Linked DNA regions of Drosophila melanogaster. The protein of the gene in region 2 interacts with the protein of the main gene of each other region in a pairwise test. Each region holds a gene or a part of one and is shown on either strand. Other genes may lie near its edges.

Evidence for each region. Proteins that work in one complex are often made in the same cells at the same time.
Region 1: the proteins of CG14853 (region 2) and CG15365 interact in a two-hybrid assay, tested with the Drosophila melanogaster proteins (one large-scale study listed by BioGRID).

Annotation. Positions count from the first base shown.
Region 1 is NC_004354.4:9,066,323-9,070,078, reverse strand, and holds the start of CG15365 (uncharacterized protein), read left to right. Parts: upstream 1-2,095; 5' UTR 2,096-2,571; intron 2,572-3,756. Other genes in the region: CG10970 (uncharacterized protein), read left to right, coding at 14-325.
Region 2 is NT_033777.3:14,607,644-14,611,399, reverse strand, and holds the start of CG14853 (uncharacterized protein), read right to left. Parts: upstream 1,759-3,756; 5' UTR 1,293-1,758; intron 1-1,292.

The DNA.
Region 1 (3,756 bases), on a different chromosome or scaffold from region 2:
AATCTTACTCGAGATGGCAGGCCAAAAGGAGGAGATCTTGTGCTGTGACTTTGAGGTGCGTGGCAGGGTGCCCAAGGATGCTTTCGAGCTGTTTGCACTGGTCCAGGCCAATGCACTGGGACTGCGGGGATTCATTGCCCAGGTGTCGGAGGAGAAGTTCAAGGGTCGTCTGGAGGGCGAGGGCAAGGTGATCGATGCCTTTAAGAAGCTCATCCTGGCCGCCGCCGATTACGTGCAGGCCATCAAGGAGTTCATTATTAAGAATCTGAAAGTCATCCAGGAATACACCTACAAGACCTTCGAAATCAAGGTGAACCTAAAGTGATTAAAGGATCAAACAAAATAAAATATTTCCAATGCATAATTTTGTTTAAAACGGCTATCAAAAGTTTTATCCATTATGATTTGTCTAATATTTTTGTTGTATGGATATAACAAGGTATTTTCCAAATAAAAATTACACAGTTATATAATCACAAATTCAAAAGAGTTTCCTAAAGAGCTGATTTATACAACAAGCAATTTCCCAAAGAGAAGAACCTGTATGAAAATGCCAAACTTTTCATGGGCTCATTGTGGATTGAATGATTATTGTTGCGATTGCTGGATCTGGGCAATTCTCCAAATGACCCATGGATTCTCACTTACGAGTACTCCATCGTTGGTTCTAGGACCCATTGCGATCGTGACGAATGAGCTAATGATGTCCATGATCCGTGGGAGGGGATAACCTTGTGGCCATCGCCGCCGGCGATCGGATATCAAATCGAATCGCATGCCTCGGATGCATATACTCGTAGTAAGCTAGCGATGTTCCCGGCTGTTTGGCATGCAAATCGAAGAATCTGATCGCCACCTCGATCGACACGATGAAGGTGTACCACTGGACAACAGCGAACATATAGCCACGGATGGTTATTTATGCGTTCGCGGATACAACTGCCGATTCACTGAGTTCCAGACTTCTCAACCAAATAGCACTGGTTAACAGGCCAGTGAGAAGTGGTAGATTTGAAGTTTAGTTTTTCTATATTAAGAAGATCATCTTAGTCGGCTAAGCACAAAACGTTACCATCTCAACACTGCACATCGGGGGGAATTATCAAAGTGTTCTTTTGTAGGCCAGTGTCGTGTATCTGCAGTGATATATGGACAGCTAAACTATCTTGGCTCAAGCAACGTTACAATTTTATGGGTCAATTTGCGGACGGCCATTACTAGAATTTGTGTGTGTGTGTGTGTGTGCAACAGGTAGCCAAGTGTGTTTTACACAGAGGAAATTAAAAAATCCTTGGTATAAAAATCCTTCCTCCTGAGAAATCTTAAGGTTCAAATATATTCCAGTGAAGAAACTAACCAAATATTAAATACTATTAAATTTTAAATACTATACTATTAAATATCAAATACTATTAAATATTTTAAAGAATTATCTGTAAGTAATACAATTTTCTCGCTGTGTATCTATGAATGTAAGCAATGAACCTATATGCGAAAAGCCACAAAATTGAGGGAAATTAACCTAGGCGGCGACTGCGACTTGGACTAATGCGGTTGCCGCGAACATATATGTTTATACATATGTTTGAATCCCAAGTCTGGATCCGAATCGGTATCCAAAATCAGAATTAGCCGCTTAATTGCAGCGCTGTGGCAACGCCAGCAAACCGGAAAGAACGGCGACAATGATTGCCAATCCGATTCGCAAGCAATCAGTGCTGACTGTACGTCATAACACCAATAGAAGCATAATTAGTATAATTATAAGTTATAAAAAGTAAAGAGTATGAGAAACAGCTACTACATTTAGTACACAATACATTGATCTTTTGGAAAATATGCTTATGAAAGTGATTGAATCCTTAGCCAACAAGTTAAATAACTGCATGAATCTCTAAAGTACAAGTTATATTCTTCAATTTTCAAGTAATTCGTACACATAAACGTTTGCAATCGAATGAGAATGTCATTTCGAAGATGACTCTTTTTTTTATAAGCTTTTGAAAAAAGCTAAGCTCTCATCTCTGATCGCCGGCGCGCCGCAGTCGCGTCGCAGTCGCCGTTCGCTGCTTCCAATTCCGACGCTCTGCAGCTCAGTTTGCTTTGAGCGCTGGAACGCGAAAGTCGTCGACGGAGGGCCAACGTTGCGGATGAAAGTTTCGAAGCGAACTGGGAAGATTTTTGAAAAGCGCAGGCGTGCAACGGTTTTTTTTTTTTAGTTTTTCTTTTTTTTTTTTGGGGGGGTTTGGGCTACGCTTCGCGGCGAGCGGTGAATGGCAGCCTTTTTTTCGAGTGTGGTGGCTGAGTGCAATTCAAAACGCATTTCGTGCATAATTTGTGGAATTTTACGCGTTGTAAAATCAATTTCATTGTGCAAATTTGAAAACTTGCCTGCTTTCCGTTGGCTTTCAGCGGCAACAGCTGAAATATAATGCAGCCACATCAAGCGGGCAAGCAATAAACAAATATCAAAAAAAAAAAAAAAACCAAGAAAATTTACAAAATATAAAAACACACACATTTGAAGAGTCAACAACAGCGATTACAAGGCACTAAAAACCAAAGGAAGAGGTGAGCAAATATTTCCATTCATTTGTTATTCTTTCGTTGGGCTTAAAATATTTTCGTATTTTTTTTTTCTTGTTGCTGTCTGATTTTTCGTTTATTTTGGTTTCGCTGATTTTTTTAATTCGAATGGAGTACACAGAAAATAATAGAATATGTTGAAAATTGTAAGATTTAAACATAATAATATATTTATTATGTGGCATTTGAAATTGAAAACGTGCTAAAATCAATTTGAATTCGACCTGCCTAGCTTGATTAGAACAAAGTAGTACATGCTCTTTTCGCACAGTGTGCCTATCCCAGCTGGCTCACACACACACAGGCACACGCACAACCTCTTTAAAGTTGTCGCTGTTGTTGTTGTCCTCATTTATCTGGACTCAAAGAGCTGAAGTTCGGAGTCGCGGACTCAAAAACTCTGAGCCGTCGTCTTCGATTATTGAGCCGTTTGACTTTTTCCCAACTGCCAGCGAACCTGTTGGCCCCACAGGCAAAAAACAAAAACTACAGCGAAAATATATACGAAACTGGTGAAAAAAGTAGATATATATACATATATATATATATATATATGAAAAAAAAAGATGAAAAAGATGCTCTGGTCAGCCTCTAGAAATAAGCAAGTATCTGTCTTTGAGCTCTTTTCTCTTCTCAATCTTTTGCTTTTTTGCTTTTTTTTTACACTCGTAAAGCCCATAAAGTGCCGCATATACTTGACCTATCCGAAACTGCGGGTTCTACCCGGGGGGAATGGATAATGGATAATGGATAATGGATAATGGATAATGGTCGCCGAAGTGGCCGAGTTGCTTACTGGGTTGGGTTGGCCAGTTGCACTTGGCCTTAAATCGCTTTATTTTACCTGGAAAATCTCTAATTCGTTCCGACGGAATTCAGCGATTTTATGTTGAAATGTCAAGTGCAGAAAAATAAAGTGGTTCTAATAAATATGCAAGTGAAATACATAGATCACTAACAATCCCCTAGATACCTCTTAAAAAACGATCTTTATTTTAAATATACTCATATATAAAGTTTATGAATATCCTTAGTGAATGCAGTAAACAGAAGGCAATATAATATGTTTTTGTAAGTGAAATACTACTTATTTAGAATAATATTCTATAATATATTTGACAAAGACCTGATTTTTTGTTCACTGTGCAATCTGCTTTTGGGTTGAGAGCA
Region 2 (3,756 bases):
ATGCGAGCTACACATACACACTCTGTCTTTCAGATGCTTTCTAGCCTCCACTCGGCAGCCTGTCTTGTGCCATTCATTCATTCATTCACTCATACAGTGAGTCTCTTTTTCACCGACTCACGGCGCAAAAGTCACCCAAGTGGTAATTAAAATTATAGCAACAATGCGACGTCTTCTTGGCCAAGAAGATGATGAAGAGGATGAAAAAGCCGCTGGCTGACACAGAAAGCGAAGCCGAAACGCTGTCGTTTGCTAGTGTTTGTACAGGCACACACGCTAACAAGTTGCGGCTGCTTACATATTTGCTAGGAAAAGGACACACAAGACATACACAGCCCAGCTTTGACTTCTTGAAATATTTATGAGTGCCCGCCAACTCGACCCAAAGACGCTGGTGACAAGCCAAGAAGAGCCCGAAACAAAAAACCAGTGAAGTGATTGTCACAAACCCGGAAAATACTATATGCACTAAGTCACCAGTCTGCAGAGTTTGGCGCTTTAAGTGTTGCAAAAATTATTTTTCACTTTTAGACTTTTTGTTTATTGATATTAAACTGCAATATATGCGTTCATCACACTTCAATTTTAAATGTATTTTTCAAAATTAAAGTAATAAGAGAATGCACATATAATGTTCTATATTTTCAATTGGCAATAAAGGGGATATATTTTGTTGTTTCAATTTTGCACTCAACAAAAAAATAACCCCAAGGGTTATCCTTCTTATGGGGCAAAAATAATAGATGCCTATCTATCTATATAATTTTTATCAAATGGCAAGATTTCTACGTACTTAAGCCTATTACTTTTGTAAAACAAGATTAAATTGTTTAAGAAAGTAGTTCTAAAATGTGAATTCTTGTATATTTCTAGACAGTGAAACTGGAAGCTAACTAAGCAACATAAAATAATTAGACAACAACATCGTTCCATTATTTTCGGCCATAGGGCATTTCCTTTTGCCAGCATCTACATTTTACAAATATGTCGCATGAAAACCCAAGGGGTTAAGCTCCGCATTTCGAGGTGAAAATTTACATGGGCCTCGAGATGATCGTTTAGCACATCATTAAAAATGTGTTGCTGTGCAGAAAGTTTCGAGTGCTCAGCACTCTGGGGTGGCAACCGCTCTCGAGTGGCAGAAATAAATAATTAAAATATACAAAAATGCCGACCAGAAGAGCACACAATTCCCGCCAAGGACGAAGGTTAATGCGTGGATTCGTGGCGGTGATGTGGGTTGAAATCTGGCATCAGTTTCACTGGCCTGCTGACAGGGCAACTTCACCTACCTTCAATTATTTACGGTGTGCGGTGTTCCGTCCACCTGCTTAATGCATTTGCAGCCTCTCGGAATTTTCCCAGCTGTGGAAGCAGCAAGTCCCAGGATTAATTAGTACTGAGTCCCAGGACTTTCAGCGAATCAAAGATTCTGCGGCGTGGGTATAATGTAATTAACGTGTGTTTTCCTTGGCTTCTACGCAGTTGAAGCTGCAAAAATGGTTGCAAGTGTTTTCTTTGCATAAACTTACACACACAAAACACGTCCTTCGATTTTGGTTCACTGGTTACGCGCTAACATTCACAATTTTCAGATGCACGATTGTTTTTTATGCAAGTAAACGACAAACAGTATGTTTTACTTTTTAAATAATTTGTTGCAGCGGAAAATGGAAACGTTTTTCTCTGTGGCCAAAGAAAATTTGTTCCGCTTTTTTGCGTCGCAGTTTCGCTTAATTAACAAAGTCGACGACTGAACGAAATGTCCTTTTTATACACACTTGTTCGCTTTTACCTTGCTCAAGTAAAAGCTTTCGGCTCTCTCCCGCTCTCTTTTGCCAGCTTTCTCTCTCTCAACGCGCTTTGCTCTCACTTTTTTGAATACCCTGTATGCAGTGAGGGGTATGATGAAGTACTTTTCAGCTAATTTTTAATGAAATGGTTTTTTGGAGAGTTTTGTTTTCTCAGTAATGACCATACGTTCCTATAAATATATATACTTTAGATAATACATTGTATTTTTCTGTGTTTTAATACAGAATTATACAATGAAACAAGCCACTGATTGTTGCAACCCCATTTTTTATAACTAATTAGTTATTCATTTATTATGTATTAAATTATTTCAAAATTAAATGTTAGCATCTTTGTAAGTTTAATGGTATTTTGAATATTGTAAACCTTTCATATAAAAGCTCTGCTCTTACAAAGCTCTTTCTCTCTCGCTCTCTCTGTAACTCTATCGCTGTGTTACAGCAGAGAAACAAAACAAACAACAGAGCGGAGCGGATACGGAAATGGTGCAGGCCAAAGACTGATGGCCGACTGATTGTGGCCATGTTGTCTGCCCTCCGTCTCTGTGTGTGTGTGTTTTTGTGAAGGTATAGATTTATCAGTGTTAGTGTGGGTGTTCATGCAACGCGAGTGGCAAGCCAGCTGGGAAAAATACTATGCAGAGCGTACGCAACGGGAGCGCAGCGAGAGATTTTTGCGGCCCATTGAGTGTGAATTAAGAGATGCCGGCTTAGTGCGAATCCTTGCTTATACATTTATGGTATTCTTTTTTGTTCCTCAGCTACACTGCATATATGGATCCATGTATGCCCTCGAGTGGCGGATGCTGGAGGCAGCCCGACGAGGATGGATGCTGGGTACTGAGTACTCCTATGAGGTTTCCGCATTTCGCTTTTCAGCATTTTTGTGGCATGCTTTTGGGGGAGGAACAAAATTAAATCTCCCTGGTATTGGTGCAGTAAATATCATTTTTAATCTGAATATTAAATATTGTGATGTGTAATGCAAAGAATGCCATTTTGAACTCTTGAAAAAATGTGCTTGTGCTGTCCTTCAACTACGGTCCTTGCACATTTGCAACAATCAAAAAGGTCAAGGGATGATTGGTGCAATAATTTTTGTTTAAGCAGTGCTCCAAAAACTTCCATTACAATTTCCGACTGTCATAAGCTGAATTAATGCTATTCCTAATTTTTTTTGCAGCTAGCATTAATCCCTAAGCGGCCATTAGATTGTCAGCAGAAAAAAGATCTACAAGCATTTGTGTTATTTAACTCGTTCCACTTTTCCATTTCGCTTTTCTATTTGGGCGAAAGCGCGAAAAACTCATTCCAGTCAGCATAAATGAAAGCTTGCGTTTGTTTCCGAAAAAAGGGAAATTTACGTTGGCAGTTGCAATCCCGTTTTGCGTGTTGCAAGGGATTCCGCACGATTTCCTGTTCGCCACGGACACTTTGCCTCCCACAAGTCCTGCCACACCAAACATCACGTCCTTCGCACGTGCAAATGAAAATAGGTTTGACTTTGCTTATATATAAAAAAATTTATTGCGTTTAACTTTGCGGGTTGAGGAGTCGAGAATGAACGAGTTTTTCATGCTTAGCGGCATGCCAAAGGTGGGTATCTTAGCGCTAAATGGGGTGGGTATTCCTAGAGTTGAATGAATCGCGTTGATATGTCAGCTGCTTGGTTTGTTGGTATCGACTTAGGATCTATACTTAAAGGCTAGCGATATGTTGATTTGGTTGCTTGCAATCGTTTCACAAATGTACAATTAGTCGCTGAAACCGAAGACTACAGAGATAATACAAGTAATCCGAAGTGATCTTGAGACCTCTGATGTTCTAACTGTCCAATTTCCGTTTCAAAAACTTCAAAGGCCCAAGGCACTCTTTCGAATATCTTAAACATATAATTAGAATACCGATAACTAGTTCATACTCATTTTATCCTTTCATTTAG